3 linked regions of the Drosophila melanogaster genome follow. The protein of the gene in region 1 interacts with the protein of each later gene in a pairwise test. Each region holds a gene or a part of one and is shown in the gene's direction. Other genes may lie near its edges.

Region 1 (3,146 bases):
GGTCAGATTTACAGTGGTTCGAATGGAACGAAAATTGGTTGAAAACAATTTAGGGTCTTGTCACAATCTTTAGATGCTTTTAGCTACAAACTACAAAATGGTTTCTTTTTTTAGAAATTTTTTAAACATCATAACCTGACAAGAACATCTTTTCCAAATATTTCTTTATTTCACCCATCTGGGTACAGTAATCCCATACATAGATATTCTGTAAACTGCAACCTTCACGAACCTTAATGTTTTTCAAGACTCAGGTTCCCACTCACCGTCGCAGCTAACAAAATTATCCGTAGCAAGTAGAAAACACCTTTCACAAAAGTCCCTATACTCGGACTATATATGCCTAGAAAAACCTCTAGGAACAAATGTACCTTTCCAACATAGCAGATAGTTTAGTAAAAATTCTTTACAAGTAGAAACACATCGAGAAATCCATAAACACTTACTCTAAAACCTGCAAGTCGTAAAATTGCACGCATGTTCCGTTTGGTAAAACCCCAAAAATCACATTCGAAAACTCACATTCCCACGACTTTGAATAGAGGTTCTCAAATTAACCGTAGCAAGTTGAGAACAGGCAACAAAAAATCCGTAAGATACTGATTTCCAAACCTGCGAGTCCCAAAATTGCACACATCTTCGCCTTGGAAAACCCCATTTCCGACATCCCAAAACTCGCATTCCCACGATCCCTACAGAAATTGCTAAAACTTTGTCTAGCAAGTAGATAACAGTATGCGTAAATTCCGTAAACCTTAAATTTCACGTAGTTGGAAAAGCCTTGAAGAATTCATTCAAGCAAGGCACCCTCAAAATTCCCGCATGTGTTTCATCGGTTTGGCCCACTGTGCCATGTGCATAAGGGCTCGGAACTCGGAGCTCGGACTCGGGACTCGCACACGGGCTACCTCCGATTATAACTTATAACACCAACGAGCGAGAAAAATCTTGTGGGAAACTTGAGGGCAAAGTGTTTCCCACGATTCGAATGTCAGTGGAAAGGAAAACAGAGAAGCAGCATGTGCAACCACCGTCGCACCACCACCACTGCACTATCGCATCTTCATCCCCTGCCGAGACTCACTTACACCGAACACCAGTGGCCATAGCAATAGTACTGAGAACATATTTAAAGTTCTAGATAATGTTTATATTTTCAAAATCACTACTATTAAGAAGTGTGCTAATTTAATTTTTTAGGTGTAAACGTATAACATTATGTTAATTTCTTTTTGTTTAATAAAACGACATTTAAGTGCTTTAAGGGAAACCCATTTGAAGTAATTGTTAAAAACGTAACGTACTTCTTAGGTATATAACAACAAATTTGTATATTCGCTCGAAGAACTATAGCTGCTTTAAACACATTTCTCATACTATTTTTACCGCAGGTGTGTTCCAAACTTGTTTGTGGAGAAAAACCCACCACCGAAAATGCAGGCGAGAGGATCGTGTCCCAGTGACTGAGTAAAAGTAGTTTGCTCCGCAGGTGGTGGTTCTTCGGAGGCTCCGCAGCTCTCTCTTCTCTCTTTCTCCGAGCAGCGTGCGCTGAGCACGAGACGCTCTCGCGGCGGCACGTGCAGCTATAAAAGCAGCGGTAACCGGAGACGAATGCAACATTTCGAACGCAATCGTCGTGCAGTCAACATCTCAGGATAACCTCCTCCGAAAGATCGAAGAAGTTCTTCAACAAGTCGTTCTTCCATTTACCTAAACGCAACAAATAAACAAAACAAACACACAATGGCCACCAAATACGAGATGTCGAAAACCTATCAGTACCGCAAGGTGATGAAGCCCTTGCTGGAGCGGAAGCGTCGTGCCAGGATCAACAAGTGCCTGGACGAGCTCAAGGATCTGATGGCCGAGTGCGTTGCTCAGACTGGCGATGCCAAATTCGAGAAGGCCGACATCCTGGAAGTCACCGTGCAGCATCTCCGCAAGCTGAAAGAGTCTAAGAAGCATGTTCCGGCCAATCCCGAACAGAGTTTCCGTGCTGGATACATCCGGGCAGCCAACGAAGTGTCCCGCGCCCTGGCCTCCCTTCCCCGAGTGGATGTGGCTTTTGGAACCACACTGATGACCCATCTGGGCATGCGTCTCAACCAACTGGAGCAGCCCATGGAACAACCGCAAGCCGTCAACACTCCACTCAGTATCGTCTGTGGATCCAGCTCTAGCTCCAGCACCTACTCCAGTGCCAGCTCCTGCTCCTCCATCAGTCCCGTTTCCAGTGGATATGCCAGCGACAACGAGTCTCTGCTCCAGATCAGCAGCCCCGGACAGGTGTGGCGTCCCTGGTAAACAAAGATCTACTTGGAAGGACTGAATTCCCGACGGGCAATCACGCAATTGGAACCGCAGCTTTAGAAAAAATGCTTTACAATGATCCTCATTTATTTGTTACGTTACCAAGTTTTAGGTTTCTAAGTTAAGTCTGTGATAGGGCACGCTTTATTAACTTTTGTCTTAAATCAATCGAGCAGAAGTCTGTTTTTTACTCTACATATATACAAATGTTTACCAGCTAAGAGATCTCAAGAACACAATATGAAAAGATACAAAATGAAAAACTTAAATACAAATCAAAATATGAAATGAAATTATACAAGAATCTTATTATTTGGGGAATCTATTTTACAGCACAATCCAATAGGGGATATTGAACTTCAGTATTTGTCTTTAAATTCCAATAGGAAGAAGATTCCATTGAAAATATTTAATGTTGGTATGCGCGAACTTTAAGGTCCAATATAATAAAACGATCGTGTGCACTAGCTTATTTAGGACACGTGTAAAAAAATGGACTTCCCATAAATTATGTTCATTATCTTAAAGCCCATCATTATCCTAAACGAGCTATATTAATAACAAGTTTCAATAACAGTTAAACATAATAGCAAAACATGCTCCACTAATGTGCACTTAGTTGTCAAGCATGCATTTAATAATAAAAAGGAATTTAATTTCATATTTTTAATGGTCGTTATTTTTCATTTGCACGATGTGTTTACTTATATTCTATTTCAGTAACTATTTTGTCAACAGACTATGAAATGAAAGTATTTGACATCCTTTAGCACAATACAATACATTGTTATAAACCTTAAATGCGGCATTATAATTTTTCCACCAATAAAAGGTCA
Region 2 (3,783 bases), on another chromosome or scaffold:
CCTGCTGCTCAAGACACTTGGGGAAGAAGGTCTGCATGAGGTCGACCTTGCGTTCCTCCAGCTCCAGTCGCTGCCGACATATCTTGGTTTGTTCGTAGAGCAGCTGGTTCTTTCGCCGAACTTCCTCCATGTAGAGCGCCTCCAGCGAGTCTGCGTGTGGGGGATTCACAGATCCGAATGGACGACCGCGCTTCCGTGGCACAGGGACGGGGGAGGCGCCAACGACGGCGTTGTTGGTGGTCGAAACTGGAGCTGCAGCCGGAACCGATGCCGATACCTGTGCGGGCACCGGCGCTGGCATGCCTCCGTTTGCGTTTGTGGCCACGCTGATGGTGTTATTGCTGCTATTGATATAGGCTACCGCCGTTATGGGCTGATGGTTGACGGTCGATGTGGCCGCAGTGCTAATAACGCTGTTGTTATTGAATTGAGCCGGCTGCTGCTGAAATTGCGACTCATAGTTTGTTTGGAACTGCTGCTGTTGTTGCTGCTGCTGCTGCAGTTGTTGCTGCTGCTGTGGCGTCTGCAGCTCGAGCAGCTGAGCCGGCTCGGCTGGGGAATACTGTTGCAACTGCTCCTGAAAGGGAATGGAGCGGTACTCATCGTCCTCGTACTCCTGCTTGACCACCTCGTCATACTGGTCCGTAAACAGCTCCGTGTTGAAGCTAACTCCGCCGCTGGTGTTGTTGTTGTGGCTGCTGCCGTGATTGCTATTGCTGCTGCTATTGTAATAGGTGGCAGTGCTTGGCTCACTGGCCAGTCCCAAGCCTTGCTGCTGCTGCTGCTGAACGGATTGCTGCTGTGGCTGCTGCTGCAACTGCTCTGCGGACGCATCATCCCGGGGCGGTGTCATGTCGCGGTTGTTGAGCAGCGCCTCTGGCGGCAGCGGATCGGCGTTCTTGGGCCTGTGCAGGTTCTTCAGGATGCGATTGATAATGTCGTACTTCTTCCAGCGCGTAGCATAGCTCGAAGGATCCGCCTGCAGCTGTTTTTTGACTTGCCTTAAAAGGGAAACCAGTCAGTTAATCCGGTATAGCAAAGTGTCTAAACGGTTACCTACCTGAACTTGGCCCTGGTCTGGTTGACCTTCATCTGGATCTCCTCGGGCTTCACGTCCACGGCGAACCGGTCGCGCAGTTCCTCGGCCCACCGGCCAAAGAAGATGGTGTTCTTGCCGGTGCGCGTCAGGCGCCAGTTGTCGCGTCCCCAGATCTCGTACAGGCGCTCCTCCTCGCTGGGCGTCCAGTAGCGACGCGCCTTCTCCTTGCCCCTGCCATCGAGCAGCTCCTGACCACCGCACATGCCTAAGTCCTGCTCGGCACCGCTGCCGCTTCCGCCCGCGTTCAACGCCAGCTTCTCGTAGTCCATCGACTGCTCTGCACCGGCTCCTGATCTGCTCCCGCAGATGTATCCCTGTAACGTTGCCTTTGGATATGCGATCTCCACTCTAGTTACACAATGCGACGCTGTGGTAGAATGGTTGAAGCCAAGTGCAGTTTTTCCGCACAAAAAATCAACAACAGCTCTGATACACAGAAGAGTGTGACCTTGCGGCGCGAGAACGCCGAAAATGCCTAGATTCCTGAGCGAATTTCCTGAAATAAGTAATATAATAAATTTCATTTAGTACCATATCAGTATCATGTATATACTACAGCTGGGAGAATGGCTTTGGGGCTAGTCCAATATTAAGAAATAAAATTATTAAGATATTAGATATATCTTTTCCAGATTTCAATAGCTCTATAAGAAAATTTAAATCATTGATGGTATTTTTTGGCGCCTGCCGCGCTCAAGCGTTATTGGTATTTCCACGCCTGGTCCTTGGTCACGTACGAAAATGTTTGGATTATAACGATTCCACAAAATTGAAATTAGACCGGAATATGAGCGGCCAGAAGCACCTGCGATTGCGCTACTACACGTCGCTGGAGGAGGCCATGCTACTGCGGCTGTGGCGCGAGCACCTGCATGCCATACCCTCCTACACGGACAACCTGCCCATTTTCCGGGAAATCGCGCACGGCCTGCAGCAGAACGGAGTTCGGCTCAATAAGCAGGAGGCTCGCCGGCGCATCAACAGCTACCGCAACAAGTATTTGTGAGGCGCAGCAGCGGCTCGGGTCAGTTCACAGTGCTAATATCTCCTTCCACTTCTCTGCAGGAACGATCGCAATCGCGTGGGGGGCAATGCGAACTTCGCGAAGGATTGGCGTCTCTACGCGCTGATCGATTGCCTCTTCTGTCCTGCCTGGCCGTCGTCCGCCCTCTTCCATTTCCGCAATGTGCTGGAGACGATCCGTGCGACAGCACGTGTGGATTTGCCCGCCCTGCCGCCACTGCTATACACTTCGCCCGCCCAGCTAAAATTTGAGCGCGACTCAGAGGGATGCACCTTCCTCGATGCCCAGCCCCTAGTTCCCGCAGTAGTGAAGACAGAGCCTCTGCCAGACGAACACCACCAGCTGGTGAATATTGAATACAAGCCCACAGTGACGCAGCTGGAAAACGCGGCTAGCCACTACCTGGAGAGAGCTACTGCCGAAAGTGTCATTCAGCGGTCGCCTCTCACGCCTGCCAACCACATCCTGCCCGAGGCAGAGGATGCGCCATATGGAGGCCACACCAACGGTGGCCAGACGGACGCCGAACGTTCGGCGAGCAAAAGGAGACGAGGGCGACGTAGTATACTGCCGCACTCGGGCAAGATCACAATGGCAATAGTGGAGGCGCTGCGCAAGGAGAACAGTTTGCTCGAGCAGCAGAACGACGCCTGTCTGCAGTCGCTCGTGCGCAAGGAGAAGCAGTTCCTGGACATGAAACATAACTTTCTGGCGTATATGGAGCGGCAGGAGGCAGTGCTGGCGTTAATAAAGCAAACGACCATCAAGCTGGAACCATGATCCCGACTACTAGCACCACGTGGTAAGGACATTGTATGACAGCTTTAGCTTTAAGTTGGGAATAGAGTCGCGGCGCTCGACCCTGTGTATGTTTTTCAATTCGTTCCTTTCTCAGACACAGATGTCTAATTCACTCGACGTACAAAGCAGCAGCATAGCGAACCGAAGATATTATAATTTCTCAAACGTTCTTTTTCTAGCGTCATAAGTGTAATGTGTATGAACAATCGTCTGTGCAAAAGATCAATCTATACGGTCTTTAGTCTTAAATTAAAAACATTGTCTTGAGGCGAACTTGTATGGTAGCTACATTTTTAAAAAAAAAACTAAAACTAAACAACTGGCTAAAAAATAAATTAGATGAAAGACTATTATACTATATATATATACTATACTATATAGACTATACTATTATTTCTATTGTTACAGAATATCTTGTTGATATAATAGTAACGAAATCAAACATAAATTCAAATGAAATCAGTGTGAATAGCCTATTAAGTTTTGCATTTCGATCAACTTAGCGTGTGCAACAACCGCCGGTTATTTGTTCATCAACCCCTGCTGCAGCAGTGTGGCCGTAGCCGGAATGTGAAAATATCCGCAAACACCGCATGCGGACCTCTCTTAGTCGCTCTCTTAGCGCACAATGCGCTCTCTGCCAACCGAAATGCCACAGACTTTTTGTAGGCTTTTCCACTTTTTCGATTTCGAGACTTCGAGCGAAACGGTCGTGTTTTTCGCGTGTGTGCGGGTGGCGGACGCGCGTGCCAATCGGAAAAGGCCTTTAAATCAAATGAGTGGCTCGCCAAAGGAGCGCATCAAGGTGTGTGCGATTGTATCGAGTGTGTGTGCTTGTGCGGTGCGGAGAAAGCCAGCC
Region 3 (3,805 bases), on another chromosome or scaffold:
GTTAAATCATATTAATCAACATGCCGGAATCCTTTCTTAGCGCTGGAAACTCTCTCAAAAACCCATTTAATCCTTTTGTGCGGCTGTGTAAACAGCAATAACTCAGCGCCACAAAGAGAATCGAAGGACTCGGGGACATAACGAGGGCAAATCGAAGGGAAAAGAGGTAAAAAGTAAGCAAAAGCAGGAGCGCATTTCGCAAAGTAAACGTTGAAAAAGAGTTGAAAAGTTGAGAAATTCGCCATTTCAGTGGATGGAACGGGGTAATCGATTAACTACCCCAGCACCCTTTTTGTGTCCCTATCCAGGATGAAAGCCGATCGGAAGATAGTCACATGAAAACATATGAAACAAAACGACTTTCACCACAAAAAAGCCGAAAAGGATAACGTGCGAAATATACGATCCCCGTTAGCGAAAATCTTTCAGCAATCGATCGCAAATAAAGATATCTCCAGGGGACCAGAACCCATTCAAAGATGCCTTTACATGCTGAACTAGATCAGAACGTCAGATAGCAAGCCACGTCGGTCACGGACACTTTGAGTGATCCAAGTCCAGGAGATGACGAGCGCCGATCACTTGAACGTCACTTAGGATCGCTGGTCGATGATCACTTGAAGATCACTCAGGGATCTCGATGATCACTTCATCTACAGCTGGTCAAGAGCCACATATGGGGGCAGTTATCTTTGATCTTGTCATCGGAAATATAATCTACTTATTGGTTCCATATTTCATATTCATATGGAGGACAGCGGCTGTGCTTTAAAATATAGATCACTACAAAGGTTATGGGAACCATTTCCTTTTACATTTACATTTCAAAGTTAAATCCATACAAGTTGTGAATTTGCATTGCATGAGGCCCATCTATTTGTAGAAAGAACACTTATTAAAAAGTTGATAATTTGATAATGCATACTGTGTACAAACTTTTCCCCTGTTGGGTGAGCAACTGACGCTTTGCACAGGACTTTTCCCAGAGTTTGTAACGTTTTTCTAATGCTTCCTTCCGGAAGTGGCAAACATTTTCAATTAAAGCCGCCGAGTATATAAATTGCATTTGCGGCCGCTAAAGAGCCGCAATTAATACTGATACCGCGCTACGACAAGTGGCTAAAATGACGAGGAGCTGTCGGCCAGGAAGTTGGACTTGGCATCGGCTAATTAGCCGGCCAACCTGACTTCCCTTCTCCCTTTTCCGTTCACTATTTTCCAGCCTGTTGCTGCTCTAAATGTCCATTCAAATGAGGGGGAGACAAGGGCGAAAGGAAGCAGACTTCCTTGAGGGGAATGAAAGCAAATTTAATAACCAAGCGCTGGCCGATAGACATCTAGATGTCATTTTCGTGTGGTGGTGCTGTGGATGAGTGCCTGGATTGGAGTGGGTGATTCTCGGCCGGTACTGCGAACTGTGGGAAAGGACGAATACCTCCAATACCTCCATCAAAATATCAGATCTCGTTGGCATAGAGATCATACTTTCATATTCTAAGCTAAGCTGCTGATATCCTCGAGCTTGTTGCTCAAGTTCCTCGAGATCCAAAGACAATTTGCTACCACACACATCCGTTGGCCAAAGAGAGTCTTTTCATCCAAGGAGAGAACGCCGGAGAGAGCGAGTGTCCTTCTGCCCGCCGGGGTGCCTCTTGCGCAACAACCCCTAGCCCCGTAACCCCTAGCCATTAACCCCTGAGCGCCGAGCGGGTATAAAACGCAGCCCGCTCCCCGTACCGCTTCAGTTTGTCAGCGAGAGCGGTCGAGAGCAGAAGACTAGCAGAGTCTAGAAGTACATCTTTTTTTTTTGTGCACCAGGAGCAGCAGAAACAGAACCACACACAACATGCTGAAGTGGACGGCATCGGCGCAGCGCCTGAACGAGATTCCCGTGCACGATCAGGATGCCAACCAGCCGCAGAGGAGGAGGCTGCAGAGGAGGCAGCGCCGTCAGCGGAGGGCCACCATTGCCAACAAGGAGAACGTGCCTGACACCGTGGGCTACACCTCCACGCCAGTGCCCATTACCCGGCTGCGCAACAGTCCCCTGGTCCTGGCGCCGCTGAGCGATATCCGGAATGTCACCCCGGAGGCGGTGGTGCGCAGTCAGGCGCCCCAAAGGGTACAGAGTGTGCGATACGCCACCACATTGCCACGTTTTGCCGAGGACTACTCGCCCAACGGACTGCCCAGTGGTCAGCACTTGGCGCTGAGGGGCCTGGCTCCGTTGGATCCCTTTCTGGGCCAGCCGCGCTATATTGTAGGCTCGGGTGCAGGAGTTAACAAACTCAAGCAGCGTAGACTGGACGAGGACTTTGTGGCCACCTTGGAGCCGGAGTTGCAGGAGACGGCAGTGCCAGAGCCACCCACCCCCAAGGTGGAAGTGCGTCCAAGCACACCGCAGCCCGCCTCCACGCAGATGGGTGATCAGACCTTGGATCGCCTAATCGATGCCATCTTGGATTCCGCCTGCAAGGCGAACGCCAGCAGCAAGAAGAAGCCGAGAAGGTCCACCTTCAATCTGCGCAGACGCACCTTGGTCAAGCAGCAAATGGAGTCGAACTGCCCCCAGGAGGTGCTGTCGCCATCCTACGCACCTGGAGACGATCCGGCCTCGGATCTGAGCTTTGGCCTGGTTCCCCTGCCCATGCACAACCTGATGCCCACTCCGGAACCGGCATCGCCCCTGGCCAAGATTCCTCACAACTTGCTTGTCCAACTGGCCACTCCAGTGGCCCCCAAGTCTGCCCCCTGCGACAACACCTTCTGCCTGGAGACTCCAGTCAAGGCCCTGAAGAGGACCCGCAAGGAGATCGTCGCCAAGGAGTCCCCCATTAAGCGCTACAAGGTCGACGAGCGCAATTACTTCGAGGTGGGATTGGCCCTGCCCTCGTCTATATATGTCTGAGCAGAGGTAATTTCAAACAGATCCTCGGAAAGCCACAAAAATGAGAAGAGAAACTAAATGCGAGATGGAGATGAAGATGGAGACGAGAAAGCGAGCAACGCTGACAAACGGGGGGAAAACGCTTAACTATGACGCTTAACTAGTTCCTAAGTCGTAAACTAATCATCTTTCAATTACTGTACATAATTTCTTAGGCCACCTTAATCACTATTTATTCCAATTACTAATATAACCATTTTTTTTTTTGCTGCTGTTATGTAGTTTTCGAATATACCTTTTTTTTCATTATTTAATTTTAAACAAATATGAATATTTATTGCTACTTTAAGTTACCCAAATAATTATTTTTTCAAAATAAAAGCATTAAATCAAAAACAATGGAGTACACTTTTCTTTTCTTTTGAAACGGGGAAAACTTTATATATCAGCTTATCATCATTAATGTCGCTTTTTTGAGTAACTTTGGCTACTTCCATGCGTACTGCCCAATATAGGGATATGGGATTGTATTGATTTCAAAATGGTGATATTTGAAAAAGACTAGACTATCTTCATAGTCTAGAAATGTTTTCTCATGTATCCATTGGAATCTACTCTTTAAATGTTAGGTTTATAGTTGGTTTCTGAACTATTTTCGAGATACGAACAAATATCATTTTTGTTGTGCCATAGCATCGCATCGAGTTTTCTGATGAATGCGAAACATCTGCGGTGACCTTCGTCACCTACGCAATATCCCAGCTCGTGCCGATTGCATTTTGACCTGCCGATACGTACAACATATATTTACACAGTTGCTTGACCAAGCGATTTGCTTTGCTTTTCCAGGCGACCAAAACAAACAACGGCGATGCAGGTTGGGAACTGGGAATAATTGAATGCCTGACAGGTACAATG

Evidence for each region. The genes of interacting proteins can lie anywhere in the genome.
Region 2: the proteins of E(spl)m7-HLH (region 1) and CG14005 interact in a two-hybrid assay, tested with the Drosophila melanogaster proteins (one large-scale study listed by BioGRID).
Region 3: the proteins of E(spl)m7-HLH (region 1) and CG12496 interact in a two-hybrid assay, tested with the Drosophila melanogaster proteins (one large-scale study listed by BioGRID).

What each region holds. Positions count from the first base shown.
Region 1 is NT_033777.3:26,035,420-26,038,565, forward strand, and holds E(spl)m7-HLH (enhancer of split m7, helix-loop-helix), read left to right. Parts: upstream 1-1,618; 5' UTR 1,619-1,743; coding exon 1,744-2,304; 3' UTR 2,305-2,600; downstream 2,601-3,146. UniProt on the Drosophila melanogaster protein: Participates in the control of cell fate choice by uncommitted neuroectodermal cells in the embryo. Transcriptional repressor. Binds DNA on N-box motifs: 5'-CACNAG-3'.
Region 2 is NT_033779.5:5,799,990-5,803,772, reverse strand, and holds CG14005 (uncharacterized protein), read left to right. Parts: upstream 1-1,797; 5' UTR 1,798-1,886; coding exon 1,887-2,101; intron 2,102-2,164; coding exon 2,165-2,903; 3' UTR 2,904-3,256; downstream 3,257-3,783. Other genes in the region: CG7239 (uncharacterized protein), read right to left, coding at 1-1,001, 1,061-1,368.
Region 3 is NC_004354.4:2,408,838-2,412,642, reverse strand, and holds CG12496 (uncharacterized protein), read left to right. Parts: upstream 1-1,741; 5' UTR 1,742-1,846; coding exon 1,847-2,908; 3' UTR 2,909-3,278; downstream 3,279-3,805.